3 linked regions of the Sus scrofa genome follow. The protein of the gene in region 1 interacts with the protein of each later gene in a biochemical or structural test. Links are inferred from orthologs where the notes say so. Each region holds a gene or a part of one and is shown in the gene's direction. Other genes may lie near its edges.

The links.
Region 2: the proteins of CDC34 (region 1) and RNF7 form a complex in vitro, tested with the Homo sapiens proteins (5 studies listed by BioGRID). The link is inferred for Sus scrofa from reciprocal best matches to the Homo sapiens genes CDC34 and RNF7.
Region 3: the proteins of CDC34 (region 1) and CUL1 form a complex in vitro, tested with the Homo sapiens proteins (3 studies listed by BioGRID). The link is inferred for Sus scrofa from reciprocal best matches to the Homo sapiens genes CDC34 and CUL1.

Annotation. Positions count from the first base shown.
Region 1 is NC_010444.4:77,762,988-77,773,396, reverse strand, and holds the start of CDC34 (ubiquitin-conjugating enzyme E2 R1), read left to right. Parts: upstream 1-5,064; 5' UTR 5,065-5,210; coding exon 5,211-5,387; intron 5,388-8,002; coding exon 8,003-8,089; intron 8,090-8,181; coding exon 8,182-8,279; intron 8,280-8,762; coding exon 8,763-8,897; intron 8,898-10,409. UniProt on the Homo sapiens protein: E2 ubiquitin-conjugating enzyme that accepts ubiquitin from an E1 ubiquitin-activating protein, and catalyzes its covalent attachment to other proteins by an E3 ubiquitin-protein ligase complex. In vitro catalyzes 'Lys-48'-linked polyubiquitination.
Region 2 is NC_010455.5:82,544,621-82,555,029, forward strand, and holds RNF7 (RING-box protein 2), read left to right. Parts: upstream 1-3,854; 5' UTR 3,855-3,999; coding exon 4,000-4,174; intron 4,175-8,324; coding exon 8,325-8,372; intron 8,373-9,696; coding exon 9,697-9,815; 3' UTR 9,816-10,268; downstream 10,269-10,409. UniProt on the Homo sapiens protein: Catalytic component of multiple cullin-5-RING E3 ubiquitin-protein ligase complexes (ECS complexes), which mediate the ubiquitination and subsequent proteasomal degradation of target proteins.
Region 3 is NC_010451.4:109,462,582-109,472,890, reverse strand, and holds part of CUL1 (cullin-1), read left to right. Parts: intron 1-2,992; coding exon 2,993-3,041; intron 3,042-3,410; coding exon 3,411-3,542; intron 3,543-5,840; coding exon 5,841-5,958; intron 5,959-7,383; coding exon 7,384-7,460; intron 7,461-8,515; coding exon 8,516-8,647; intron 8,648-10,309. UniProt on the Homo sapiens protein: Core component of multiple cullin-RING-based SCF (SKP1-CUL1-F-box protein) E3 ubiquitin-protein ligase complexes, which mediate the ubiquitination of proteins involved in cell cycle progression, signal transduction and transcription.

The DNA of each region.
Region 1 (10,409 bases):
ATGATTCCTAGTTGGATTTGTTTCCGCTGCGCCACGACGGGAACTCCTGGAGCTATCTTTTTACCATAAGGCCTGTGAACAAAGTGAGCACTCAGGAGAGCTGAGCCAAGAGAATCCCCAGTTTCTTTTCTTGCCTCTGTCCCCTCACTCTGATTGAGGCACATTGGTCTCTAGCTAGTCTGTCTTGTCCCTACCTCAGGTCTTTGCATGAGCTGTTCCCCTCCCTGTACACTGTTCCTCCAGACCCATGTGTCTCACTTCCTCATTTCATTCTGTTCTCTGCTCAAATGCCACCTCCTAAGAGACCCCCCTTTCTAAAATAACCCTCCTGCCCTACCCCCTGTTACTAATGCCTCACCATGCTTTATTTTTTTTCATAGCAATTTTTGCTACCAGAATTTACCAGCTTTGGAGTTCCTATCATGGCTCAGTGGTTAACGAATCTGACTAGGAATGATGAGGTTGCGGGTTCAATCCCTGGCCTCACTCAGTGGGTTAAGGATCTGGCGTTGCCGTGAGCTGTGGTGTATGATCGCAGACGTGGCTCATTGCTGTGGCTCTGCCTTAGGCTGGCAGCTATAGCTCGGATTTGACCCCTAACCTGGGAACCTCCATACGCCATGGGTGCAGCCCTAGAAAAGACCAAAAAAAAAAAAAAAATTATCAGCTTTTTTGTCCTTTCTCCACGTCCCCCCAGGGGCAGGATTTTTGCATATTTTATTCATTGCTGTACCCCCAGCACCTAGAATTGTCCGTGGAAGGCCATGAATTAATTAATCAATTTTCCAGAGGAAGAATCTGACACTCATAGGGTCCAGTGTATTTAGTCCCTGTGGCTATTGTAACAAGTCACCACAAAGTGAGCAACTTAGATACAAGTCCATTATCTTACAATTCTGGAGGTTAAAAGTCTTAAGATCCAGGTGTGGGCAGGGCTGGTTCCCTCTGGAGGCTCCATGCCAGAATCTATTCTCTTGCCTTTTCCAGCTTCCAGAGGCACTGCCTCCTTGGCTCATGGCCCCTTCACAGGGGCTACCTGGAGAACCAGGTCATCCCACTTCAAGGGGTGGAATCTTAGCTGCAGATTTCCTTCTCTCAGGTGAGGCATTGTGTACCCAGGCTCTGGGGTCAGGATGTGGACCTCTGTGGCATTATTGTCTACTACTGTAGCTGAGTGGACCCAGCTTTCAGAGCAGACTGCAGAAAGAGACAGAGCTGAACTTGAAGCCCACCCTGTAACCTTTGTCTTCCTTCTCCATGTCCCTCTCCCTGTGAGGGGTCACATTCTCTCCCTTCCCCCCTTTTTTAAGTATAGTTGATTTACAATGTTGTGTCAATTTCTGCTGTACAGCAGTGACCCAGTCTCTCTCTGTCTCTCTCTGTCTCTGTCTCTGTCTCTCTCTCTCACACACACACACACACACACACACACACACACACCATTTTTTACATTATCTTCCTTCATGGTCTGTCCTAGGAAGCTGTAGGAAGCTGGATATAGTTCCCTGTGCTGTATGAAAAGACCTCATTTCATTGCTTATCCATTCTAAGTGTAATAGTTTGCATCTACTAAGCTCAAACTCCCAGTCAATCCCACTCCCTCCCCACTCCCCCTTGGCAACTGCAAGTCTACCCTCCATGTCTGTGAGTCTGTTTCTTTTTTTTTTTTTTTTGTCTTTTCTAGGGCCGCTCCCAAGACATATGGAGGTTCCCAGGCTAGGGGTCTCATCAGAGCTGTAGCCACCAGCCTACGCCAGAGCCACAGCAACGTGGGAGCTGAGCCGCGTCTGCAACCTACACCACAGCTCACGGCAACGCCGGATCCTTAACCCACTGAGCAAGGCCAGGGATCAAACCCGCAACCTCATGGTTCCTAGTCGGATTCATTAACCACTGAGCCATGACGGGAACTCCTGTGAGTCTGTTTCTATTCTGTAGATAGGTTCATTTGTGGCTGTTTTAGATTCCACATATGAGAGCTATCATGTGGTATTTGTCTTTCTCTTTCCTTTTTTTTTTTTTTTTTTTTGTCTTTTTGCTGTTTCTTGGGCCGCTCCCTCGGCATATGCAGGTTCCCAGGCCAGAGAGAGCCTATGCCAGAGCCACAGCAACGCAGGACATCTTCTTAATCCATTCGCCTGTCAGTGGACATTTAGGTTGTTTCCATGTCTTGACTATTGTGAATAGTGCTGCTATGAACTTAGGGGCCCATGCACCCCCCTGCTTCAGCCCTGCAGCACCACTGCCTCCTGAGATGATGACTTTTCCCAACAGGCACAACTGCAGCAAAATGCTATTGCGCAAATCTCCGTAACATATTCCAGCTCCATGCCAAGGGCTTACAAGCATTATATTTCATGTAACTCATTTTAAGATAAACAAGTTGAGCATTGGAGGACCATTTGTTTTGTTTGCTTTTCAGGGCCACACCCGCAGTATATGGAAATTCCAGGCTAGGGATTGAATACAACTGCTGGCCTACACCACCACCACAGTGATTCAGGATCTGAGTCATGTCTGCAACCTACACCACAGCTCACAGAAACACCGGATCCTTAGCCCACTGACTGAGGCCAGGGATTGAACCCGCCTCTTCATGGATCCTAGTCAGTTTCCTTACTGATGAGCCATAACAGGAACTCCCTGGAGGACCATTTCTAAAGTCAAGGCAGAACCTAGATTTGAATTCAGGGCTCTGTTTTTTTTTGTTGTTGTTGTTTTTTTTTTTTTGTCTTTTTGCTATTTCTTTGGGCTGCTCCCGAGGCATATGGAGGTTCCCAGGCTAGGGGTCGAATCGGAGCTGTAGCCACCGGCCTACGCCAGAGCCACAGCAACGCAGGATCCGAGCCGTGTCTGCAACCTACACCGCAGCTCACAGCAACGCCAGATCCTTCACCCACTGAGCAAGGGCAGGGATCGAACCCGCAACCTCATGGTTCCTAGTTGGATTCGTTAACCACTGTGCCATGACGGGAACTCCAAGGGCTCTGTTTTTTGTTTTTGTTTCTTTGTTTTGGCTGCACCTGCAGCACGTGGAAGTTCCTGGGTCAGGGATGGAAACCACACCACAAAGTAACGAGAGTCATGCTGGAACCTTAACCCACTGAGCCAGCAGGGAACTCCCAGGGCTCTTCTATAGCCCGTGGATGGAACGCTCAACTCAAATTGGCTTAATAAAAGAGTTCCCATCGTGGCTCAGCGGAAACAAATCTGACTAGCATCCACGAGGACACAGGTTCAATTCCTGGCCTCGCTCAATGGGTTAAGGATCTGGCATTGCTATGAGCTGTGATGCAGGTTGCAGACTTGACTCAGATCCCACGTTGCTGGCTTAGTAAGAAGCGGAAGGAAAAAAAAAGAAATTTATTGACTTGCACCATTGCAAGGGGAGGTCAGGCATGGCTGGATCCAGGAGCACAGTCACTGGCACTTTCTCATCAGTTGGCTTAGCTTTCCTGAGTGCCAGCTTTGTTCAAAGATTTCATGTTGATGAGATGGTCCTATGCACAAGGCCCAGGGCTCCCAGCTCAGCCATCTCAGCGTTGTGTCCCAGAAAATATCCCAGGCTGCATCTCCTTAGACAGTCAAGTCACATGCTGAACTAACCACTTCAGCCAGGGCTTAGGGATCAGTCCAATTCGAACCTTGCAGAGTAAGAGTGGGGGCCCCCTCAGGAAATGGAGGTGCCATGGCCAGAAAATGGGCAGGCAGAAACCTGGGATGTCCACAACCTCAGGACGTTGCAGAGCCTGAGATGCAGGCTGTCTTGGGAGACAAAGCCTCAGTGGGACCGAATGCAGAGTATGTAAACCTGGTACCTCCCTTTACCTATTCCCCACCCACCCAATAATTCCTGCCATATACATGGGGATACATCTTGGGAAACTTCTCTGGAAGAATCATAATTAATTCTAATTACTATTTATCAGCAAGCTGCCACTGACCAACACTATGACATTGGTGTCACTGGCAGAGAACAAGGGACAGAGAATACTTGGAACTCTGGACAAAGTGTGTGTGGCCCATCCTATAGGGGAGGCCCCTCCAGGTCCCCTGGTGTGCAGGGCAAGCCCCTGTATTGATGAGAGCCACTGAAGCTACTGCTCTGCCCATGGCTCTTCCTCAGGCTCCTTTGCTCATTCCCAGAGATGACATTTTTTTTTTCTCCAGATTTACCTGCCTGTCCTCAGCTGGGGCCAGCCCAGGGCCAGGTGACAGGCAGGCGGGGGAGGGAATCAGCTCTGCCCAGCCTCAAGTGTTGGTGCAGCTGCTGGCTGCCCGGGTCACCTGCCAGCAAGGCCATCACAGGCCACGGGGGCCATGCCCACCCTCGTGGGGAGCTGTCACCTGCGGACCTGCAAGGCTAAAGACCAGGTCCGAGCGCGCGCACATACACACCTCTCCGACCCAGAGCTGTGTGGGTGTCTGGGCCAGAGTGCTGTCAGGTCAGCCAGGCGGGGTCGGAAGGTGGAGGGAAGCCCAGACCCCCCCACCCCCCGGCTAGCTGGAGTCAAAGGTCAGCCTGATATGGACACAGCTGGGGTCAAGTTTTTATCTGGGGTTTGGCCAGAACAGGTCCCGAGACTGTGGGGCAGAGCACACCCTAAGTGGGAAGACGGCCGGAAGTGGAGGGACCCTCTTGGCTGGCCCGAGGCAGCCTGGGCCCGGGTCATGAGTATGGAAACTGAGGCTCGAGCCGGCCCCGCCCCGGCCCCGCCCCGCGCCGGGACGTCACAAAAAGGCCCAAAAGGGCCGCGAGCCGGGCGGGGCAGCGCAGCGCAGCCCTGCCCGCGGCCCCGCGCACAGGCATCAGGGGAGCTCGTAGAGCCGGGGCGGCGGAGGCCTCCCAGGGCCTCGGAAGCGCCAAGGCGCCTGCGCGCGCGGCCCCCGGCTCCCGGCGGCGCGCTCGGCGGCCGGGGGAGGGATCGCTTCCCATCGTGCCCCGCGGGCGGGCGCGCAGGCGCGGTCGGGGCAGGCTGCGCGCAGGCGCGGGCGGCGGCGGGGGCGGGGCGCGGCGGCCGAGGCGAGGGCCGGGCGGCGGCGCAGAGCGAGTGGAGCCCCCGGGTGCCCCGGGCGGCGGCGGCGGCGGCGGCGGCGGCGGCGCAGAGGAGGAAGGCGGCCCCGGCCCCGGCCCGTCCCGCGGTCCCGCGGCCCCGCGGCCCCGCGCGCCCCCTGCCCCGGCCCCGGACCCGGGCCCGTCCGCCGCCGCCATGGCCCGGCCGCTGGTGCCCAGCTCGCAGAAGGCGCTGCTGCTGGAGCTCAAGGGGCTGCAGGAGGAGCCGGTGGAGGGCTTCCGGGTGACCCTGGTGGACGAGGGCGATCTGTACAACTGGGAGGTGGCCATCTTCGGGCCCCCCAACACCTACTACGAGGGCGGCTACTTCAAGGTGAGCAGCGAAGAGGGGGGCGGGCGAGCGACCCTGCTCCGGGTCCTCGGGGCCCCTCCTCCACCTCTGCTCCCTGCCCGCTCCCCTCGCGGGGCCCCCTCCCTCTGCTCCACTGCCTGGCCGCCTCCGGAGAGTTCGGGGCTCTCAGTCACCCCTTCTTCCCCGTCTGGCCTCAGGAGTCCCCGAGAAGCGCCCATCCCCTCTAAGCCCGCTTCAGGCCCCCGAGAGGAAACCTAGGACCCTCCGTGTTTCTCTGGGTGCAGGGTTCTTGCTTCCCCCAGCCCTTAGTGTTCCCCGCCTCCCGGCCCTGCTCGCTGCTCAGAGGAGACAAAAAAGCCTCCCCACAACCAGCCAATACTGTTGCGGGGAGCGCCGGCTTAGGAAGGGAGGGAGTGGGGGAGGGAGGCCCGCTGGCCTGGGGACTGGCTCGGCCTCCTGCTCGGGTTCCAACAGAGGCCAGGATGGGGCCTTGGCAGCAGGGACCTGCTTGGAAAGCGTCCACCCTTGCCGATAGCAGCCGGCCAGGCCCTCTTGACTTCATCCTGAGCTTTATGTAACCTGCTCTCTCTGACGGTCACTCCCACCCTCCTCCCTGTCCCTGGAAACCACGGAGCAGAACCCACCCCAGGTTCCACCTCAGAAGGTTGGGGTCCTGGCCTTTTTCAGGTTCCAATGAGTCGTTGGCTTCTTGGGCCCGAATCTCAAGCTCTCGTGGTTTCTGGGCCCTCGGTGGTGGCCCGAATCTCAAGCTCTCGTGGTTTCTGGGCCCTCGGTGGTGGCTTAAATCCAAGCAGTTCTCTCTTGTTGTCAGAGCTGGGAGGCAAGTGTTTTCCTGGGGACTTGTGTGTCATGGACTCCAGCCAAAACCTGGGGAGGATCTGAGTCTAGCCGTGGTCTTGAGGGACCCCTCCCAGATCAAAAGGACTTTGCTCCTTGAGCCAGAGGGACAAGGCAGGGGGTCTCCTTGGGTGAGAGATGGGGCCTGAACCATCAGCTGGGAACGAACACACACACACACACCCTGCCAAGAGCCCTGCAGGCCTGGCTGGGAGGCCTGGGTTGGGGGGTGGGGAGGCTGATGCCGCCTGGACAGATTCTGTGTTTGCACTTTTGGCTAGTTCAGCAACCTCAACAGAACAGCCTGAGCTACTGGCATTGCTGAGGTGGGATGGGGGGATGAGTGTGGACAGCTCTGGGCTGAGTTCTATGGTTGGAATCCATCTTCCCCATGCAGGGCACGGATTTAGGGTTGCTCACTAAGTGATCTAACCAGCCTCCCTCCCTGGTCTCTTTTGTGTGCTTCTGGGTACAACTGGCTGTGAGGATAAGGGCCGGTGCTCAGAGCTGGGAGAGCAGAGTCCTACTCTTCAGCCAGGCCAGGACTCTGGAAGGAAAGGAAAGGATGGGGAGGGGGGAATAGGGGGGTGGTTCTGGCTATTACTCTCTGTTTACAGGGGATTGTGGGTAGGGCCTTCTAGGCTGGCTTTGGGGGGAATAATCCTGTTTTTCTGAAGAAGGAAGGACTGGGTTCAGGGTGCTGCACATTTCTCATCTGCCTGCTATAGCATCTGTCCTCAGGCCAGCTTGGGACCCACGGTGGTCTCTGATCCTCGTGTCCCAAAAGATGCAGAAATAGCAGGGGCTGGAAGTGCCAGGGGGTCCACCATCGCTTCCCAGCCTCCTCCTCTGAGTTTTCCAGGCCTCACCCACTTCCCCATATGAGCCAGAGGGTCCTGGGCAGCAGGTGATGAAGGCATGCCCTGGAAACCCAAGTTTGGGAGCCCCTCCAGAGTTCTGTGCCCTCAGGCAAAGTGCTCTCCTTTTCTGAGCTGCAGTTTGCACAGCAATAAAGGCACCCTGGGACTTGGTGGGTGCTAGGTGCTTAGTCAGGGGAGGCCTGTCACCCTGCCTTGCTAAGGAAGCTTCAGTTGGTCTTGGGCTGTCACTTAGAAACCCAGCACTGGGCTTCGGAGACCCCAGGGCAGAGTCTGAGGCTTGAGTTCCAGGCTGGCAGAGGGACTTCCCTTGTGTCTCCAGCATAGGAGAGCAGTTCTCCACAGATGGGTTGAAGGACCTACAGCAGTGTATCCAGTGTGGCCCCTAGTATGCTGCCTGGCCTCTGAGAGCCTGAAGCACCACCAGATCCTGGGACTAGGGCTTAAATAGGCTGAAGCCAAGGCACAGCTTTCACCCATAGGGCCCTCCCCCATCTGCCCCGTGACCTTCCTGTCCGCCTTCCTGACCCCCCCGCCAGGACCGACACCTTTGGGTAGAGAGCCTCTCCGCCCAGCGCTGACTCATGTCCGCCCACGGCGGGCGCCTGCCCAGGGAGGTGTGGGGATGACTGCCCGGTGAACACGCGGCTATTTTAATCCCCCCACAAGCTGGAAGCTGAGGCCCAGGCCCCTGCTGGCATGTGCCCGCCCCTCCCCCAGGCCCACAGGACTGGAGCTACTCCCTGGCAGTGCCCATGCCCCCCAGCAGCAGGCAGGGACCGGGGACAGCTCTGGTGACCCCAAAAAAGCCCCAGGTTTGTGTGAGCTGTGGCCGGCCAGCGAGGTCCCTGGCCAGCCTGCTCTGGCCCTACTGAGCCCATGCTCTCTGCCTCCCACCAGGCGCGCCTCAAGTTCCCCATTGACTACCCTTACTCCCCACCAGCCTTTCGGTTCCTGACCAAGATGTGGCACCCCAACATCTATGAGGTGAGCTGGTCCCCTGTATTGGGGTGGGTGGGAGGGGGTGCTATGGGTGAGATCTGGAGCTGCAGGCACTGACCCCCTCCTGTACCATGCAGACTGGGGACGTGTGCATCTCCATTCTCCATCCTCCGGTTGACGACCCTCAGAGTGGGGAGCTGCCCTCGGAGCGGTGGAACCCCACCCAGAATGTCAGGTGAGGTCCTTGGGTGCTCAGAGGCTGGTGGTAGCAACGTGGGACCCCACCTTCTGCCTGACACCCCTGCCCCACCCACCTCAGGAATGGCTCTGGGAATTCCACGTCTTCATCTGCCTGCCCTGGGGTCTCCCCGTCTTCCTCCAGCCCATGATCACAGCCCCTCGTCCACAGACAGACTGCTCACCCCCAGAGGCCTGGGCACCCTGCCTCCTGCTGCATGTCTTTTCCGGCCCAGACCGCAGCAAAAGTGGGTGGCATAAGGGGACCCCCTCTCCAGGCAGGATGATGCCTTGGGGAGGGGGACAGGCCTACTTCAGTGCAAGGAAGGTGATTCTGGCATTGGCTTCCCTCAGATCTTGTCTGAGGAGCTTGGGAGGTGGGGGGTGGAGCATGGTTCAGGGTGTGAGGCTCCCAGGAGAACATGCCCCTGACAGGCTGGCTGGGCGGAGAACACCCCTCACACTGACTCCTGCTCCCCAGGACCATCCTCCTGAGCGTCATCTCCCTCCTCAACGAACCGAACACCTTTTCACCTGCCAACGTGGATGCCTCGGTGATGTACAGGAAGTGGAAAGAGAGCAAAGGCAGGGACCGGGAGTACACGGACATCATCCGGTGAGCCCTGCTCCCTCCACTCTCTGGAGAACCCTTGCTTCTCTTCCTCTTGCGCACCTTGAGGCGTTCCAGTTCTGGGAGTGTGTGGTCCACGTCGAGCATGGCTGTGCCATGTGCACCGCAGAGTGTGTGCATGTGTATACCTCACACGGGCACAGAGATAAATATCCTGTGACCACTGAATTTCAGCAGGGGGTCTTGCCATGTTCCTTTGCTTTGTGACAGAAAGGGCAGAGATCCTGCCAGTCTGCCTGTGTGTGTCTCCCTCCCCCCTCCACCTGCGTGTACCCCTCATGCTCGCCCCCAAGAGTAGGTCTGTGAGCCTGTGGCCTCTGCTGCTCTCCTCCAGGAGTGTGTTTTCCATGTGTGCTTTGTGTGATCTATTTTTTCACCTTATAGCTGTGAATGTCACTTCCACTTGCAAAAGGGAACAAAGCCATGTGATATCAGCATGTTTAGGAAATACTTTCTTTCATGAAAAACAGTTTTTTCTTGGTTATAGAAGCAGTGCGTTACTTAGGAACTTGCCAGGGTTAACTGTCCCTCATTTTCATTGTCTCCTGTCCCTGCTGTGACGAAGCAGGTAGCCATCCTCACAGAGGCATCTGTGCAAACATTCCCTGAACCATGGGTGCTTGGCTGGGTATGGGGCCCAGAGCACAAGAGGCCTGCCCCAGCGATGCCCCAAGGGACTTCCTATCTTCCCTGTTGTGTTGTGTCTTGTGAGCTGTGCTGACCATTTTCCTTTGTCGCTTGTCCTCCTGGAGCTTGTGACTTGGTTTTTGTGTTTTGGGGTTTTTTTGGGGGTTGGTTTTTTTTTTTTTTTTTGCTGTTTAGGGTCACACCTGTGGCACATGGAAATTCCCTGGTCGAATTGGAGATAGCTGCCAGCCTATGCCGCAGCTGCGGCAATGCCGGATCTGAGTCGAGTCTGCAGCCTACACTGCAGCTCACTGCAATGCGTGATCCTTTAACCCACTGAGTGAGGCCAGGGATCGAGCCTGTGTCCTCATGGATACTAGTCAGGCTCTCTCTCTCTCTTTTTTTTTTTTTTTTTAAGTCAGGCTCTTTACTGCTGAGCTGCAGCAGGAACTTCTGCTTGTGACTTGTTTTGTGACAAACTTAAACCCTTTGTTAAGCCTATTCCAATTAGGTTTTCAGTCTGTCCCTTAATCTGTAGAAAGCATTTACTTTGTAGAAGGTGAGTAAGTCAGACATGGGTCTACATGACGACCCACCTGCACCCATGCCCACATTTACCTGCTATGTGCACCTTCAGAGGGTGAGCCTGAGCCGTATGTGCAGGCCTGTGGACCCCTGTCTCTGGAGTTGGCTGTGCAACCACACGGGCAGAGCTCAGGCTCAGGGCTGTTGGCCTTCAGTGGTGCTGCTGCGTTGATGAAACTCTGGACAGGAAGCTGGTGCAGAGACATCCTGCTGGCTGGGAAGATGCTTAAGTTAAAACCCTGGTGGGATGTTCTGAGCACACTGTGGGTTTGCTGAGGGATCCGC
Region 2 (10,409 bases), on another chromosome or scaffold:
CAATTTAACAAGTCTCCAGAACTTATATATCCAATGTGTGAGCCCTCCTGAGAAATTGTTCTTGCTCAAAAACCAAAACAAAACAAACTTTTTTAAAGATTTCCCACTGACATCCACTGGGTAGAAGTGTAAAATCCGTGTGCTTATTTAGGGGTCTTTTGGCAATGTCTATCAAAATGAAAAATACATAGCCTTGACTCAAACATTCTACTTCTAGAAATTTATTTTACAGATATACCTCACACATATGCAAAGAAATGTGTATAAAGATGTTCACTGCAGCATTGTTCATTGCACAGTGGAAACAGCTACATGTCTCAAAGGGTTCTCCAGGACATAAACCACAGGAAATACACATGGTGGAAAACTACCACACAGCCATTAGGAAGAATAATGTGGATATGGAAGTGCTTATATGGAGAGATGTCCTAGTCATACTATTAAAGATAAAGAAAAGCCCAGATAAGAGTATATGTGAATTTTTCATATTAAAAATGAACTAAGGGAGTTCCCATTGTAGCGCAGTGGTTAATGAATCCGACTAGGAACCATGAGGTTGAGGGTTCTATCCCTGCCCTCGCCCAGTGGGTTAAGGATCTGGCGTTGCCGTGAGCTGTGGTGTAGGTCACAGACTCGGCTCGGATCCCACATTGCTGTGGCTCTGGCATAGGCCAGCGGCCGCAGCTCCTATTAGACCCCTAGCCTGGGAACCTCCACATGCCGCTGGAGCGGCCCTAGAAAAGGCAAAAAGACAAAAAAAAAAAAAAAATTAAAAATGAATTGATACAACATGAATCAGCAATTTCACTTCTGGGTTTATATCAGAAAGAATTGAAAGCAGGATCATGAAGAGATAATTGTACACCCATGTTCATAAAAGCGTTATTTATAATAATCAAATGGTGGAGGCAACCTATGGATCTATCGATGAATGAACACACACACACACACAAAAGAATATCACTTAGCCTTAAAAAGTAAGGAAATTCTGACACATGCTACATACAGCATGAAAGAACCTGGAGGACTTTATGCTATGTGAAGTAAACCAGTCACAAAAAAGACAGATATTGTACAATTCCAATTATATGAGATATTTAGAGTAGTCAAACTCAGAAACAGAAAGGAGCATGGTGGCTGGAGGGAGAAGAGGGAGATGGAGAGTTGTTTAATGGGTATACTTCCAGTTTTGGAAGGTGAAAAAGCTCTGGAAATTGGTTGATAACAATGTGAATGTGCTTGATACTACTGAATTCTACACTTTAAAATTGTTAGGATGGTAAATTTTATGTTATGTGTATTTTTACCACAATTTTAAAAATTCAAGTGAGTTGATGTGCTCTGTGTTTGTTAGTACATACAGAGCAATTTCTGGAGACTCTATTGACAGTGCTTGCTTTTTTTCCCACTGAATACTCATTTTCCTATTTTAAAGGTCTTATCACTTATGAGCTATCAATTTGTAAAAACTCAAAATTGTTTGATAATCATCAGTAACAGCACTGTTTGGTTGTTATGTGACCTAGTGCCAAAAGAGTGGAAGAAACACAATAAGCGCTATGATTTTTCTGGGAGGAATGCATAAATAGTAGCAAAGAGTGGTCAGTAAGGACACGAAAATTAGTTTTCCTCACAGCAAACGCAATGTAGTTAGAGCAGACAGAGGGAGGTTCTGACCACTTCCAGAGATGTTAAATGGAGTCGGGGGAAGAGAAGAGTCTAAGGTGTCTTTGGATGGCTGAATCAACTAATCTGATGAGGGTCTCAGAGAGGAGTGCTTGGAGATAACATTAGAAAGGTAGGTTGGGGCCATACTGTGGCAGGATTTAAAGGACCAGCTGGGACATTTAGATTTTGTTCTGATGATAATGGAGAGCCATGGAACATTTTGAGCAGGCTAGTGTCAGGTGGAAAGGGGGATCTAAGCAGATTAAACAGGCACTTTAGATTGAATGGGGAGGCCAGACAAGAAGTCAGGACACAATAAGCCAGGAACAGAGTGAAGAGGTTCAGATGAGGCATAAGCATGTACCATTCCTTGTCCCCTTCTTTTTTGGCCACACCCAGGGCATGCAGAAGGGACAGGGATTGAACATACTACAGCTGTAACCTGAGCCAGAGCAGTGACAATGCCAGGTCCTTAACCCACTGAGCCATGAGAGGGAACTCCTACCATTTCTCATTCTTAATCATCCTCTAGCCTTTCATCTGAGTTCCCTCCTTTTCTCTTTCAAACTGCCCAGTTCCCCCCAACTGGGGGCATTTTATCCTCATCTGGTTCTAGCCTTCTTTTTTAAATTAACTATCTGGCATTTATAGCATCTCTAGTCAGATGTGTGGTAGCTTAATGTGAGTAAAATGTGTGTCCTTTATGGTTCATCTGGGTTTGTTTACAGGCATTTTTGTCTGGCTCATAAACTTAGTGGGGTCAACTTTACATCTGCCACCACTACTACTGCTCTGTTCAACCTGACAGCCTTGCAGAGGTTTGCTTTCTCCACCCACTTCCGGGCCTCCGATGCCTCCCATCTTCCCCCAGTTCAAACGTCACCTCTTCCATCAGCATCTAGCCAAATGTGACCCAAATGTATCCACATTTATATTTTCACACATATATGCTTCCTTGCCTCCTCCGCCAGATTTCTGGAGCTTCTAGCCCCCATCCAGACATCAGGAGAGGAGGGGATGAGGCCCAGTAGGAAAAGGTGGGAGGCTCTGAATTCCAAACCCGACACAGCAGGTGTCCACCACTAGGTGGTAGTGGTGATCAGGCATCTTCGTGGGCTCTCCATACCACAGCTTTCTTATTTAAATAGAGATGTTATCTGCTTTGCTTGGGAAAACATAATAATATGACCCCGGGCTAGATGCAGAAGAACCCTGGATTCAAAACAGTTACCTTTAGGGAATAATGGTGTGTCTTTATCTTATTTTTCTGGACCTCAACATTCCTATCAATAAAAGGAGGATGTTGGACTAGATAGAGGTTCTCAGAGTGTGGTCCCCGGGGGTTCCTGGGATCCTTTCAGGGGAAACAAGGTCAAAAGTATTTGCATAACAATATTCACCGCTATTTCTCTTCACTTTCTCCTGTGAGTATACAGTGGAGTTTTATAAAAGCTACAAGATATGTGATATCCTTGTTCTAATGATTACTTGTAATGGGTTTATTGCTTTTCCTTGCGGGGGCGGGGGGTGGGGGCACACCTGTGGCATATGGAAGTTCCCAGGCTAGGGGCTGAATCGGATACAGCTACCAGCCTACACCACAGCTCACAACAACACCGATCCACTGAGCAAGGCCAGGGATTGAACCTGCATTCTCATGTATACTAGATACTAGTCGGGTTCCTCATCGCTTAACCACAACAGGAACTCCTATGGTTATTTTTTAAGTGAATACATTAAAATTTTTTTCGTATTTCTTAAAAAAAAAGTGTGTGTTTGTGTGTACACATATTTTACAAACCGAAAGTTCTTTAATGTTCCAGTGATTCTTAAGTGTAAAGGGGTGCCAAGACCAAAAAGTTTGAGAACGGCTGAACCAGATTTCTAAAAGATAGTCATTCATTCACTCAACAAATAACTACCCCTCCTGAGGCCAGGCATTTTTCACATACCCAGGAGAAGGTGGTGATCAAGTCACGTCCTCGCTCCGATGGCGTTTTCATTTAGGAAGGGAGTACATCAATATGACAACTTGTGAGAGCCAGAAGGGTCACGAAGGCATAAAGCAGAACACCTGCTTCCTGCACCGGCAACCCTCCTGAGCGCGGCGCCCATTCTTGGCCAAAGAGTCGGAGCGGGCCGGGCCCAGGGCGCGGGGGCGGTGACGTCACTGGGACGCGCCAGCCAGTCTCGGGCGGCCTCCGTCGTAGGCCCCACGGTGGCCCGCAGCCTGCGGGCGGCGCTGTGGCCCGGCGAGGGGCCCCAGGGAGCCGCCATAGTCGCCCGCCTTCCGCAACCTAACGTCTCCGCCGCCGGCTTCGCGCCGCCGCCATGGCAGACGTGGAAGACGGCGAGGAGCCCTGCGCCCTGTCCTCTCACTCCGGTAGCTCAGGAACCAAGTCGGGAGGCGACAAGATGTTCTCTCTGAAGAAGTGGAACGCGGTGGCCATGTGGAGCTGGGACGTGGAGTGCGATACGTGCGCCATCTGCAGGGTCCAGGTGATGGGTAAGCGCTGCACTCGAGACCCTGGCTGTGCTGCGGCCTCCGCGGGCCCAGCTCCGGCCCGTGGGACACACCGAGCCTCGGAGAGACTGTTCCTGGAGGTATAGGGGCGGGGTCGCCCTGCCTGGGAGCGAAAGACTGGGGCCACGCCCGTGCTGCTGCTAGTCGGAGGGCTGCGGCCGGCGACGGGGACTGGTAGTCTGGGGAACGAAACAGGTGGAAAGCAGGGCAGTTAAAAAGGTAATTTCAGGTAGTGATGGGTGTGGTCAAGACAATAAAAGTAGGTGAGTTGATGGGAGCTGCGAGGCACCACTTTGGTTTGTGGGCCCAACCTCGCCACCCTTTTCTAAAAGCAAACTGTAGAGGTCACGGTCAAGGCCCTGAGTCAGCGGGTCGTTTTAATGCTTCTTTTCACACACCAGAGTGATGCTCTGGAGTCATCTTCCACAGTAATGACTCTTAGTCTTGTTCCGGAGAGGCGCAGGAAAGAAGTGTCCCTAGCTGTTGCCTTTCGGGATTAGCTACTGTTCTGCTGGCTTTAAAACTTGGATGATTCAAGACTGGTCAGATGGCAGTAGCTTGTCTTGAAGAAGAATGTTAAGCCCTTTATTCAGAAACATAAATTTTAATCTCATTCCTGGCCCTACGCTATCAAAGGATGCCATTTCCTGGAGAAGACAGTGTCCTGATAGGCCTTTGTGGAGAATTTTCTTTTACAAATAAGTCACTTCTTTCTATAAATTTTTTTAAAAATATTGGACCAAGTGAAACCTTTCGGGACAGCTTCATCCTGTTATATTTTATATGGTTTCTGTTCTAAGATCTCAGAACACCTTGAAAAAGAGATGCTGTTTAAATGCATCCTTATTTTTTTTAATAGGGCATTTAAAATCACTGTGAGAGCATCTTAAATGAAACCGAGGTTTCTATAGTTTGAAAGCTTTTACATCTTAAACCGAAAAATCAGAGTTTTGGAGAAAATAACTCAAAAATTGCTCTCAAATCAACTATAAGGAGTTCCCTTCGTGGCGCAGCAGAAATGAATCCGACTAGGAACCAAATCAACTATAAAAGAAAAAATAAAATCTAAAAAAAAAAAAAAAATCACTCTCCCTTCTTGAGGAATGAAAATTCAGAACTGCCAGAATCAAGAGGTTTCTTCATTTACCCTCTCTGTAGTATGTTTTCTTGTTTTTTATTCATAAAATAAGGACTCATTTTAAAAGCAGATTTACAACAATGAGATATCATATATTTATTTTTTTACTTTTAAAAGAATTTTATTTCAGACATGATCCACGTGTTTTGCATATTAGGTTTTAAAAATACCTTGTTTATTGGCCTGCAATACAGCCCCCTTACCCTACTCCTTACTTAAAAACTGAAATCATAATTTCTGCTTTGAGTGGCATTTTTGACTTATCCAAACAATTTTTGTTCTTTTATGAGAAAAAACTTTGTTAAAAATTTTATCCCCTAAGTGATTAAAAAAAGAGGTTTTTCTGAAAGGTTATTTTCTTCTTCTCCCCAGGGAAAAATTTTAAATTTGTAAATAGAAATGCAGAGTTTTAAATAATGGTTGAAATTTGGCAGCAAATAAACCTTCCTGGTCAAAGTATGGGCTCTAAATGACTTAACAGGCACATTAACTTTCTAATTATAGCAAGTATTCCGCTACTGTGGATTAATGTTGCAGATTTACAACAGCTGTACTTTGGATTCAGGAAAGTATTCTGGACTAGACCTCTATATTTTGATTATAAGGTGTTAAAATCCACTTAGTGGTCAGGTGACGGCAGAAGGAAGTTTTATAGACTTGCCAATCCTTAGGGTAGCGTCATTCTTAAAGGTGTTACTGTTATTGTACTCCTTAGAAATGTGCTGTTTTAGATATTAGGAATATCACCAAAGGAAAAATGTTTTCTTTTATCTGAAACTTTAGGAATTTTTATACATTTAGGTCAGTTGTTTTTTTTTTAAATAATTAAATCAAAGCTATAAGCATAATTCAGAGATTTTTAGATTCTACAAAGAGCCTATCTAATCCCACTTCCTTAATATTTGGAATTCAGAATTCATCTCATACATCTAAATGATTTGTTATGACTTCTTTTTTAAAAAAATTTATTGTAGTTGATTAAAAGTGTTTCAGGTGTACAGCAAAGTGATTCAAATACACACACACACACACTTTTTTTTTCAGATTCTTTTCCATTGTAGGTTATTTCAAAATTTTTATGACTTCTTGATCTAAGATTTACCTGTCCACCCATTCTGATGTAGTTAACACTTCCTTGTTTCCACTCTTCCCCACCCCCACCCCCTTCATTCTGAAAGGAGCAAATGACACAGTGAGCAAGCACTGACAAGGAAAAGGGGAATAGGTTTGCTAGTACTGTAGAGGTATAAAGAGCGAGAGCTGGAGTTCCCGTTGTGGCTCAGTGGTTAACGAATCTGACTAGGAACCATGAGGTTCGATCCCTGGCCTTGCTCAATGGGTTAAGGATCCAGTGTTGCTATGAGCTGTGGTGTAGGTCACAGATGCGGCTCGGATCCCGAGTTGCTGTGGCTCTGGTGTAGGCCAGTGGCTGCAGCTCCGATTAGACCCCTAGCCTGGGAACCTCCGTATTACACGGGAGCAACCCTAGAAAAGGTAAAAAAGACCAAAAAAAAAAAAAAACCGAGAGCTGCATGTTAACTGGGACATTTGACATAACCTTTTGGAGCCTTGTTTTCCCAATTTGTAAAAAAGGCAATTGGGGTCATTAACTGTAATTCTCTGATTGCACAGAATCAGGGCCTTGTCTTCACCCTGATATCATGATCCTTATATGTAGTTGTTTGCCTCTCTACCTCCCCATTTGCTGGTGAGAGCAGGGATCCAGACTCGATCATTTTGGTGTCCTGAGGGCATAACTCTTTGCACAGAGGAAATACTCAGTAATTGTGGAATTGAAGAAGTCGTCAGGAGATGTTGGTTGTTTGTAATCCACACTGAAGAGGCCAGGGTGGTGTGGTTTTTTAAGGGAAGACCATGCAGAGTGGTGCAAACAAATGCCTGAGCAAAATCTAATGTAAGAAGAGAAGCAGGCTTCAACTCCACTATTTCTATTTTTACAGAATTATTTTTCTCCAATTTATGTTTAAAACTTATTTTTTCTGTTGGTTTAAACTTCCTTTTACCCAGGTTTGACTCCTTTCAGCTAGTGAATGAATCCATTTAATTGGTTCTTACAATATTCTTTATTACCTCCATCAAGCAATTAATACTGACTGAATTTTGAAAACTTGTAGTATGCCCTTTTGTTCCCACTCCTCATATTTACTCCCAAGTAATTTATTAAAATACTTTACCATTAGGTAAATGCTTTGGCCTCAGACATATTTGTAAAGGGAGCATTTCCTTAAAAACTAAAAAAAGAGAACTAGGTATTTGGGAGTTTTTTTACATTTAATTTTCATATAGCATATAAAGGAGTTCCCACTCTGGCACAGTGGGTTAAGGATCTGGCATTGCCACAGCTGTAGGTCACAGCTGCAGCTTGGATTTGATCCCTGCCTTGGGAACTTCCATATGTTGCCAGTGCGGCCAAAAAAAAAAGACATAAGCTTATACAGTCACATAATTTAAAAATCTGAGAAAATATACAATTAAAAGTCCTTCCCATTTTATCCCTTCCCAGATAAACTTTATTATTAGTTTCTTGAGTATCCTTCTAGACTTTCTATGTATTTGTAAACAAATACCAGTATATATGTGTGGTTTCTTTAAAAGAATGTCTGGAAAATATACTACCCATGAGATTGATCTGTGTGAGCATGCCCAGTGAGCGTGTAACAACTCCTAATATAGTGGAGTATGGTGTATTTTTCTCTGGTGGTTTCATCCACTGTCAGGACATCTTTTCATCAGAATTTGTAAAAATAGAGGGTCAATAACCCTTGTGAAATTGCTCCTGGTCATAAGTAAATTAGTAGAGTTCCTTGCACTTTATTCATCTTTAAGCAGTTATGTTCGAATGAGAAAGTAATAATATGAGTCCTTTAATCTTCATCTATAACCCTTTGGGCCTTTATTTGACTTTGAAGTGTATGGGTTTTAAAAATTGCATTCAGAGCATCAGAATGAGAATTGCTATTTGTTTACTTTTAGATGCCTGTCTTAGATGTCAAGCTGAAAACAAACAGGAGGATTGTGTTGGTATGTTGTAATTTTGTTCTCTTCCTTTTTCAACTGAAGATTTTCTCTCAGTGGGGATGTTTGAATTTGCTATTAAGATTGACTTTATCAATACATAAAATAAACTGTAAAGCAGTAATCCATTATTAATATAAAGTGTGTTGGTTCTCAAAGGGCCAGTTCTCAAATGGAATTAATCTTTAAGTCCTTTAGTTGCTTGTAATTAAGAATTGGTTATATATTCTAGACACAGGTGTGATAAACGTTTTGATAATCACAAAAGAAATAATTGCCTTTTATTAAGAATAGTATAAAGTAAGAAATTTGTCAAAATATCTTTTAAATTTTGAGTATGTTACAGGTCAGTTTTTATCAGTCAGGATTATATTCTAATACAGCATTTCAATATTCAATACTCTTATGATCCAGTATTTTAACTTTTCTACTAAGGTAGAAACTATTCTCAAGATTTTTTTGGAATGTAGTTTACAGATAAAAATCTGTTAAATTTTACTAGAGAAGTTGTTTTAGGCTAAGTATTTTAAGTAGTTCAAAGGTTTTTATGTCTAGGTTCTTTAGGTTATCACTTCTAGATTGCTATATAAAAGTGTTAAAGATTTTCCTGGAATAGAAGGTTAACTTTGTACTTTGTGTTAGTATGGCTTACCTGCAGCTTATTAATGATTTGTGTAATTTTGACCAAACCCTGTTTCTTCCTCCCAAAAGACCTAAAATGAGTCCCCCTTGCTTCCTACCCCTACAGCCAATTTGCATAAGGATTTTTTCTTTTTCTTTTTCTTTTTTTCCAGTTTCTTTCATTGTTCTGTTATAGCTCAGTTGGTCAAGCAAGGAGCAAACAAAGCCCATGTTTGAGATTGTGTTCCAGATTATGGGTGGTTTTTTTCTCTGTTTAAAATAGCCTACTGTGAACTGAAAACATTTAAAATTCGTTATATCTTGGTGAATAAAAATCAGGAAGACATTTTTCAATAAAATAAAGCCCAAAATGTCTCTGAGGTCAGTGTATGACTGAGATGGTATGAGATCTAAGGAAAACTTAAGTTTTTAATCTTGTAATTTGAGAAGGACAGCATGTGGAGCTATGTAGGAACTGCATCACCCACAGATTCTGAAATGATGGAAAGTTCCCAAACACAGTGCCTTCTCTCATTTCTTAAGTGTGATTTAAGAAAGTTTCTATTTCTTCTTTTGACCAGCTAACCGCCTTTATTCAAGATTATGAACCATAATTATTATACAATATAAAATAAGATAGAATTTTGAGCTCAGTAATTTAAATTAAAATATGTTGTCAGATATTCTTTTTTTCTTCTTCTTCTTTTAGTGGTCTGGGGAGAATGTAATCATTCCTTCCACAACTGCTGCATGTCCCTGTGGGTGAAACAGAACAATCGCTGCCCTCTCTGCCAGCAGGACTGGGTGGTCCAAAGAATCGGCAAATGAGAGCGGTGGAAGGTATTCTTCATGCAGTTGTGTGGAGCCCTGGGGATTCTTGTTATCAAGTGCTCTACCAAGGCTAGAACTCTCCAAGGGGACTAATTCTTCTAATAGGAGGCAATGGATCTGTGGTCCCTGGGACTCATCAAAGGCATGGTTTAGTCTTTTTCAGTTTTTTTTCGGAGAGGAGGTGTTGTTTTCAGAAATGCTCTACAATTAAGAAGATAATTTATTAAAAATGGTCTTTCCTACCTCTATGGTATGTGTCTCACACACTGCTTAGAAGTACTATAAAAGAGAGAGCTACAAATTGAACAGCCTTTATAGTTTACTTACTTATATCCAAGGGGCTATGGAAGCAGTTCCATTGAGAAGTGGACTTTTTGCATGCTTATGGTTGATCAGTTTTTTAAGAAAGATAATGTTATAGTAACAAATAAAGTGCAGTTTAAAACCCGACTCTTACCCTTAATCTGTTCCTAATATTTATTTTTGGCAGGAAGGAAATGATTCATGAAATCTTTATTTGATATAATGAGAATTTTTAAGTTTGGACCAGTGAATAGGGTAAATAAAATTTAACCTTTAGTGTGTAGGATT
Region 3 (10,309 bases), on another chromosome or scaffold:
TGTTGTAAACCTGTTTAAAATCTTAGCCTCTTTGAAGAGCTAAACTCTATATTGCATTTTGTGTATAATGTAATTTTTGTTCCTTTTGAGAAAACAGTATAAACGTACTGTAAAGAAGTGGTAGAGCGTTCCCTTTGTGGCTCAGCGGTTAACGAACCTGACTAGGATCCACGAGGATGAGGGTTTGATCCTTGGCCTTGCTCAGTGGATTAAGGATCCAGTGTTGCTGTGAGCTGTGGTGTAGGTTGCAGACGCAGCTTGGATGTGACGTGGCTGTGGCTGTGGTGCAGGCTGGCCGCTATAGCTCCAATTTGACCCCTAGCCTGGAAATTTCCATATGCTGTGGCTGCAGCCCAAAAAGCAAAAAAAAAAAAAAAAAAAAAAAAAAGTGAAATACACCTTTTTTGTCTTCCTAAAAGGCACTTGACTATATATGTTAAATGCCCAGTTTATGTTTTTCTTACGTTACTAAATTCTTTGTAATTGTCGGCCGTGTGAGCATGACCCTTTTAGCTAAATAGATTCCACTAGGCAGGTCCAGCTGGTGGTTACAACAGAAAGTCACCACTTCTCTTCATTCCCTAGTTGTTCTTTTCTATTGGCCTTGCTTAATTTTTTTCCAGTTGAAAATTTTGTAGCTCCCACTGGCTGCTTTTTAAAACAGAAGACTCTCCCATATTACAGTATTCTCATTATTCTGTGTACTTTTAACATTTATCTTCCTTTAATGACTTTGATTTAGTACTGCTTTTTCATAGTCTGTATATTTTGAGCATCTTATTTCTCAACTGATATTTCCCTAATCACTGTATGTGTATTGATCACTAGAGGCACCATAATCTGATTCTCTGCGTTGTGTTTTTTGAAGTTCTCAATAATTTTTGTGTGGGTTTTGGTTTGCCCCAGCTTCTCTTTCACTGAACTAGCTTTCAGTTTAGAAATGCTCCAGGCTTATTTTAGTGATCCAGATATCACATCAACACATGTTGCAGTAGTTTTCCATGCCCCCAGTTAGAGGGGTTTGATATTAAAAAATTTTAAGGAGCTCTCTAAGGCTCATATAATCCCATTATGAAAAAGACTGAGAATAACTACACTACCAAGAGAAAGACTACAAACAAGTCTCACTTAGAAATAGAGATGTGGGGAATCTTAAGTAAAATATTAGCAAACTAAATTTATCAGTGAACCAAAGAATAATTGTTCAGAATGTAGGACAGCTTTCTAGGAATGAATGCAAGGATGGCTCAGTAGTAGCAGATGGAATATAATTGACTTTAACAACAGAGCTATATGAACAACAATGTGGTCTTCTTGATTGACATGGGAAAATATTTAATAAGGTTAATAGCCATCTCCTTTTTTATTTTTTTTTAAGAGCTGCACCCACGGCATCTGGAAGTTCCCAGGCTGAGGGCCGAATCAGAGCTACAGCTGCTGGCCTACACCACAGCCACAGCAATGTGGGATCTGAGCCGAGTCTGTGACCTACACCACAGCTCACGGCAATGCTGGGTTCTTAACCCGCTGAGTGAGGCCAGGGATCAAACCCGCATCCTCATGGGTCGTAGTCAGGTTGATTCACCACTGAGCCACTGAGTACTCCAATAGCCATCTCTTTTAACTTTGTCAGGAAGCCATTTGCCCAAGGCCTGGTGCAAATTGAGTATTTGATTTTTTTCCTCCCTATTGCAGTGCTTATCTAATGTATAATTTAGCAGTTCTAGTCAGATTCTCTAATGTATTCATTTCAGGAGTGAAAATGGACTTTAAATTGGAATGCCTCTTGTGACCTTTTATTTTTTAGGCTCAGTAAAATGAAAATTTTCAATATTTTAAATGTGTAGATACTCTTGTAGGGCTTCAGTTTGTTTGACTTTTTGTCTTTTCATAAATGGTCCTCATCAAGTCTCCTGGTGTATATTATTCTTTAGTTAAGGCTGCTAAAGCAGGCAGAATGGTGGATAGTTCTGAGTGCTGTTTTAACAAGTGTATGTTAGTGATTGGACTCCAGGGACACTTAAGTTAAACTCTTCCAGGAAAGAGACACAGGCCTGACCTATCAGTGAGAAGAATGGGCTTCCTGAGCCAAGTATTTCCCCCCTCCGCCCAGGGCTGTACCCACAGCATATGGAAAGTTCCTAGGCTAGGGGCTGAATTGAAGCTGTGGCTGCCAGCCTATACCACAGCTATAGAAACTTAGGATCCAAGCTGCTTCTACAACCTATGCTGTAGCTTGCAACATTGCCAGATCCTTAACCCACTGAGCAAGGCCAAGGATTAAACCCACAATCCTCACGGATACTAGTCTGGTTCTTAACCCATTGAACCACAACCGGAATTCCTGAGCCAACTATTCTTAAGTAGGATCACGTCTTTAGAGCTTGTTTGCTGGTTGGATCATTTTATATGGATTTTATAGGGGTCTTGTTTATTAAGGTCTCTTGGAGTAAAAGCTTTAAATTTTTACCCTGCAATCACCTTTCAGTTAATATTTATTCATAGACTAGAGTGAATCAAGCAGTTGTAAAAGGACAACCATCTATTTTGTGGACGTAATGACATGTAAGGCAACACTTTAGAGGTAGTTTACAAACTCTTTTATCTTTAATTACTAGGCCATTAAAAGGCCTTTTATTTTTTCAAAGTTAAGTTAAAGCGTATTATATAGAAAGCAATTAGAAAAGTAAAAGGCATGTTTAAATGGATTATCTTAAAGGAAAACTTGATTCAGAATGTTTGGGGAAGCTTTTAATAAGTATCATCTATTGAGATCCATTGTGGATATTCTACATTATTCTGTGGAAGAACAGATTATGAAAGAGAGATAAAGTGTAGGACAGCCTAAACCTTCCCTCTTCCCCGTGCTAATCTGAGAACTAACCACTTGAATGTTCAGAACCACACTCTAATGTGGTTTGGTTGAGTGGTGCTTGTTTGATAAATGTTTCCTGATTTATTTTAAAACACTATACCTTTTAAAATTTTTCAGTTCCAAGAACCCAGAAGAAGCAGAGCTAGAAGACACACTCAATCAAGTGGTAAGAAGCTCCAGGGTCACGTCAATGTGCAAGTAGCCTTTTCTCTGACAAGTGGCTTTTCAGTTATTTAAATGAGGCATATGGAATATGGAAAGTAGTAGAAGCATTCGTTTTATTTTGAATCTATGATTTTACTCCCTATATTAAGTCCTTAATTTTGGCATTTGTACTTTCCTTATTTGTATTCAGTCTAGACTTCACGTAATTTTAGGGATTGATGAAAATACCTGCCTTAAAGATAATGGGGCAGTATTGTAAGCGTGGCATACAGGGCTGGACAAAACGGAGCACACATGTTTGTTTCTGGCCTGGGTTTGGTGACAGTGTCTTTGTAAGTGTGTTAAGTGTGCTCTGGTGTGGCTTTTCTAGATGGTGGTCTTCAAGTACATAGAGGACAAAGATGTGTTCCAGAAGTTCTATGCAAAGATGCTGGCCAAGAGGCTTGTCCATCAGAATAGCGCCAGCGATGATGCTGAAGCAAGCATGATCTCTAAGTTAAAGGTAAATGTAATGTTTTCCGGAAAAATGCCAGTTTTAAGTCACTAAAGTTCTGGGTTGTCAGTTGGGCAGAGTAGACAATGGATGACATGGATTCTGTGCCGTGAGAACTCCGCCCTCCACCACAAGGACCCCACCGCCAGTGTTGTGACAAGCCCAGGTCAGGCCTCACATGCTCTGCCAACCCTTCCCCTGCTGCATAGAGCCCCTCCTGCTCCAGCTGAGCCTGGCACATCGTCCAAGTGTCTTCTCCGAGCTCCTGCACCCGTGACCTCAGCTCTGTCTCCACTCCCCAAGAATTGCTGCAAGTGGTGAAGCCCAGACTCAGCTTTTTGTTGGCCTTGGGTGGGTCTGCGGGAGGACAGAACACTTTAAGTGTTAGTTTGCTGTTGCATATTTCTTCATTCGGCCGCATTTGTGTCAGTGCTTCCTGGCCTGCCAGGTGCTATTATGTGACCTGGACCATATTTCACTTTGACCTGAATTTTTTTTTTTTTTGATGATTTTTATTTTTTCAATCATAGCTGGTGACCTGAAATTATAGTTACGTGGTTGTCTTTACCAGCTTGGGCTGCCATACCAAAATACCATAGGCTTGAGTGGCTTAACAAGAGAATTGATTTTGTTTTTGTCTTTTTGCTATTTCTTGGGCCGCTCCCTCGGCATATGGAGTTTCCCAGGCTAGGGGTTGAATCGGAGCTGTAGCCACCAGCCTACGCCAGAGCCACAGCAACGCGGGATCCGAGCCGCGTCTGCAACCTACACCACAGCTCACGGCAACGCCGGATCGTCAACCCACTGAGCAGGGGCAGGGACTGAACCCGCAACCTCATGGTTCCTAGTGGGATTCGTTAACCGCTGCGCCACGACGGGAACTCCTTAACAAGAGAATTGAATAGAGTCCTGGAGGCTGCTGGGAAGTCCAGGATCCAGGTACCAGGCAGTTCAGTGTCTGGTGAGGACACTCTTCCCAGTCCAATCCTGGAGGCCCAGCCTCATGACCTTTTCTGAACTTAATTGTCTCCCTGTGGCCCCACCTCCAAATACCATCACATTTGGGGTTAGGGCTTCAACATGGGGACTAGGGGGCACAGCTCCACCAGTGGTAGTGGGTGAGAGACAAATTATGTCATCTTTATATTCTTCCAAGGTGTCAGAAATCCTTGCCCTTAGTGATAGTTATTGTGTGTATACAGACCTAACTCTTCCATTTATAGCTGTATAATTTTTGATAGTGTATTAATTTTATTTATATCTTATTTAAAACAAATTAAAGTTAGAGTTCCCGTCATGGCGCAGTGGAAACAAATCTGACTAGGTACCATGAGGTTGCGGGTTCAGTCCCTGACCTCGATCAGTGGGTTAAGGATCCAGCATTGCTGTGAACTGTGGTGTAGGTCACAGACGTGGCTCAGATCTAGTGTTGCTATGGCTATGGCATAGGCCAACATCAACAGCTCCGATTGGATGCCTAGCCTGGGAACCTCCATATGCCGCAGGTGCGACCCTAAAAAGACAAAAGACAAAAATAAATTAATAAAATTTGTTTTATTATTTTTTATTTAAGTATAGTTCAGAGTTCCTGTTGTGGCTCAGAGCTAACGAGCCCGGCTAGTATCCACAAGGACATGGTTTAGTCCCTGGCCTCTATCAGAGGGTTAAGCATTCCGAGTTGCTGTGAGCTGTGGTGTAGCCACAGACATGGCTCGGATCCTGTGTTGCTGTGACTGTGGCATATGCCAGCAGCTATAGCTCCGATTGGGCCCCTAGCATGGTAACATTCATATGCTGCAGGTGCAGCCTGAAAAAAAAAAAAGAAAAAGAAAGTATAGTTGATTTACAGTGTTATGCTAGGGAGTTCGAGTCATGGCTCAGTGGTTAACAAATCCAACCAGGATTCATGAGGACGCAGGTTCAATCCCTGGGCTTGCTCAGTGCGTTAAGGATCCGGCCTTGCCAAGGATCTGGCCTTGCCGTGAGCTGTGGTGCAGACCGCAGATACTGCTCAGATCTTGCCTTGCTGTGGCTGTGGTTGGTGTAGGCCAGCAGTTGCAGCTCCAATTCGACTCCTAGCCTGGGAACCTTCATATGCGGCCCTAAAAAGACAAAAGAAAAAGAAAAAAACAATGTTATGCCAATATATGCTGTAGATAGTGTATTTTTTAATCTGCATTTTGTATACCTTGAATACAGTTAAATGTTACAAAGTACCTGTCATGTACTGTGATTTCTATCAGATTCCCTTGTGTACATTGATATTTCTATAGCAATTAATAAGATCGTTATCTGGGTTCATTGCAGCAAGCTTGTGGTTTTGAGTATACCTCTAAACTTCAGCGGATGTTTCAAGATATTGGTGTAAGCAAAGATTTGAACGAGCAGTTCAAAAAGCACCTGACGAATTCAGAACCACTGGACTGTGAGTATTATCCACGTGTTTACAAGCTTCCTTTGTAGGAGGTATTCTTAGAGGAGCCGGTGCTTTTTTGGAACAAGGTAGAGAGATGACAAAATACTAAGTAGGAATGGTGGGTACTTTATCAGAAATTGAAGGACAGACAAGCAGGAAGTTCTTCCCAAATGCACTGGCCACCTCATGACTCCTGTGTGATGATAGGAGATGAGATGACAGCCGTAGAAATGTGTGGCCTTTTCTGGAGAACCTTGTGCTGAGCATGGCCAGCTGGGAGTTGGAGGAGCTGAGCCCTGACCTCTTCTACTTGCTGACATGGCTGCCCAACCCCAGGCACTTGCCAGCTCCAAGCAGTTTTAAGTTTCAGTTAAAAGTTTTTAACCTTAGTTTGATTCCATTCTAGCAGTGTTTTTTTGGGGGGGGGTGTTTTGTGGGTTTTGTTTTGGTTTGGTTTTTTTTGCCTTTTTTTTTAGGGCCGCACCTGTGGCATATGGAGGTTCCCAGGCTAGACGTCAAATCAGAGCTGTAGCTGCTGGCTTACACCACAGCCACAGAAATTCTGGATTGGAGCTGCATCTTCGACCTACACCACAGGTCACGACAACGCTGGATCCTTAACCCACTGAGCGAGGCGAGGGATCAAACCTGCAGCCTCATGGATGCTAGTCAGATTCGTTTCCGCTGAGCCATGACGGGAACTCCATAGCAGTGTTTTTAATTATAAGAAACTGACAGGGCCATAGAGATAACAGCCAGACAAGAGCCCTCATGGCTTCAGATTGACGCTGCTGGCCAGGCAGGCTAGGAGGCCAGCTGGGCTCCTACTGCAGGAGGAGGGTGGCAGGGCATGATGACATCATCTTTTTAAATGAAGAATGGAGATTGTACTCTTCCCAAATTGAAAGAACTATTAACCTGTTACTGACAATTGTACCGTGGACTTGTCAGCCATCTGTGATGATGGCATTACTGTTACAATTTATAGATTATTGAAGATACATAAGGTCTGTGTGTCAGTTCACAGTACTCTGCTACAGAAAACATAATGAAGTTGGTTTACTTTGGGGGTTTTTGTTTTCCTTTTTAAGTTGGGGGCTCTAATGCCAGTCAGGCCTGGTGAACTCCGGTGTGCCTTGAGTGGACTGTAAACTAAAGCAGATGAAGCCAAGCAGGCTTATGATGTTGTAATTCTGAGTTAGAAGAGAAATGAAAAACTCACCCTTTGGAGGAGAGAATTTCTGGCTCTTCCCTTTACTGATTTTAATTGAATAAAACAATTTAATTTTAATGTGCTCAGTCCTTAGTTTTATATTGAATCCGGATTTTTCATTTAATGTGTTTCCTGATAATAAAAAGCAACCCATGTTTATCTGAAAGGGTGGCTTTTTTCAGTTTATAAGGCTAATTAATTATTTTTCCCCACGGCCCCAGTGGATTTCAGTATTCAAGTTCTCAGCTCCGGATCGTGGCCCTTTCAGCAATCCTGTACGTTTGCCTTGCCGTCAGAGGTAAGGATGGGTTTACCTTCTGTTCCCTTCATGTGGAGCAGAGTTGAAGGGGGCAGCCTCCAGCATTAATGCAGATGGTGCCTAAGAAGGCCTTCCTGCTGCCTAGCCATGTGGCCTCAAACGGGGCAGCGCCGGGCAGTCATGAGCTTGGGGCTGGGTAGGGGTCAGGGGTTGGCCACCTTTGTCTCAGCTCCATATGTGTTCATTCACATGCTTATTTACCCTCAGAAGTAGAACCTAATAGTTCTGTGATGAACATCATGACCATACCTATGTGTCTTGAAGTAGAAACTTTTTTTATGGTATCCTCAAATGATTAAATTTACATGCCCTTTTTTTTTTTTTTTTTTTGCATGAGAGTAGAGACTTGGTATTTGTATTTTACCTAAGCGTTTTGAGCTATAAACTTGGGCCAGTGGTTTTTTGTTTTTTTTTTGTTTGTTTGTTTGTTTTTTTGTCTTTTGTCTTTTGTCTTTTTTGTTGTTGTTGTTGCTATTTCTTGGGCCGCTCCCGCGGCATATGGAGGTTCCCAGGCTAGGGGTTGAATCGGGGCTGTAGCCACCGGCCTACGCCAGAGCCACAGCAACGCGGGATCCGAGCCGCGTCTGCAACCTACACCACAGCTCACGACAACGCCGGATCGTTAACCTACTGAGCAAGGGCAGGGACCGAACCCGCAACCTCATGGTTCCTAGTCGGATTCGTTAACCACTGCGCCACGACGGGAACTCCGGGCCAGTGGTTTTGTTTGTTTTTTTGGTCTTTTTAGGACCACACCCTAGCATTGGGAAGTTTCCAGGCTAGGGGTTGAATTGGAGCTGCAGCTGCCGACCTACACCTACACCTACGTCGCAGCTTGTGGCAATGCCAGATCCTTCATCCACTGAGTGAGGCCAGGGATCAAACCCTCATCCTCACGGATACTAGTCGGGTTCTTAACCCACTGAGCAACAGTGGGAATTCCATCCAGCCCACTGTTTTTTATTGAGGAATGTTGGCTGCCAAATATGGTGAGATACATATTCCACATAATGCCCCCCCTCCTTTTTGTCCAGTTGGAACGGAGTTATCAGCGATTCACAGCTTTTTATGCTAGCCGTCACAGTGGGAGAAAATTGACATGGTTGTATCAGCTGTCTAAAGGAGAGTTAGTAACAAACTGCTTCAAAAACAGATACACTTTGCAGGTAAGATCACCTTCTCCTTTTGGTTTTTATTTCTTAAGTGTAAATGAAGATAAGAGAAACCATAGAAATCAGAATCCAGTGGTTCACACAACAAGAACCTAGAGTTAAGATTCTGGCAAAATAATGCAGTGAGCTATAATAATGAGCTAAGTTCTAATTATTTGTGGCTAAGGGACAAGGTATTTGATGGCACTTAGCCTTTTTTCTCCTCCATGAAAGGGGGGTATCAGTGCCTCTGCTTTGCGTATGGTGTGAAAATTAAATGAAGTTATGTTTTTAAAAAGTGGCACAGCTCCTGCCTGACACAGGTTAGGTGTTCAGGTAGTAGCTTAAAAAGCCAGGGTTTCATTGTTTAAGTAGATGATAGCTCTTTTCCTTCCTTAGCAGGGCAGTTTCACATTGACAGCAACCCTCGGAGTTTGTAGCGGTGCTGAGTACTAGCTAAGAATAACTGTAACCCAGGTTTCTGTTTCATAGATGAGAAACTGAGCATCAGCTCATTTAAGTTATTTCCTTGGATCCTAGCTGATAGAGGTCAGAGCCGAAACTTCCATTAAGGTCTTTTCCCTTCAAGAGTCCATTTTGAAGAAGGGCTCTCCAGTGTGCTTATAAAAACAATTATAAATCCTTTGAACCGGTGGCATATGGAAATTCCCAGGCCAGGGATGGAACCCGAGCCACAGCTGTAGCAATGCAGGATTCTTTCACTCACTGCTTTTTAAGTATTAAGAAACTCGTGACTGCGTTCTGAAGGCTCAAGCTGCTCGTTAATTTAAACTTTCAGTAATGCTGTTCTTATAAAATAGTTAAATGTCTGATGTTCTGTTATGCCAGGTCCAGTGATCTTTATCACCTTGACTGTGGAGTATTATGTGCTTGACCCTTGAGCAACCTGGAGGTTAGGGGCACCGACCCTCTGTGCAGTTGAAAATCTGCATGTAACTTATAGTCAGTGCCCCTTAGCCACAGTTCCCCCACATCTTTGGATTCAACCAGCCTCGGGTCTATAGAACCATTGTATTTAGTACTGGAAAGAATCCACATATAAGTGGACCTGCACAGTTCAAACCCATGTTGAGCGTTGACTATATGACTGAAATTTTTTTTCTTCATTCCCTAGGTATACATAGAAGAACCCATGAGTTCATACTTTAGTACCTAAGATTTCAGTGCCCTTTTTTTTGATCAGCGGCAGACATTTAGCCAGAGGTGTGTTTGCTTTGTCAAGGCAGCCAAGGGTGGGCACAGCGTAATATGCCAGGAATGTGCTTTTTGCCTGCCCTTATGTTTTTATTTAAGGTACAAACAAACAGGGTACTTTTTTTGTGATTTTTCTGTGATCCTATAAGTAATATTTATATCAACTTTCTTGAGATAGTTTACATATGAAAGTCACCCATCCTAAGTATACAGTCTGAGTTATGGCAAGTGTATATACCTTCAGAGCCACCACCAGGCTATGGGACATTTCTTTGAGATTTGCTTTCATTTTGGTCACCACCATTAGAGAGATGGCGGCCCCTGCTCATCCCGGGAAAGAGCTCTCAGAACCCCCCACCTCACCCCCCACCTCTGTCATCTTTCCAGGGGGCATCTTGGAGTTTCTCAGAGACACTGATCCAGGCCGATAGGGTCACTGCTTCTTTCTCCTCTTGTTGGCCT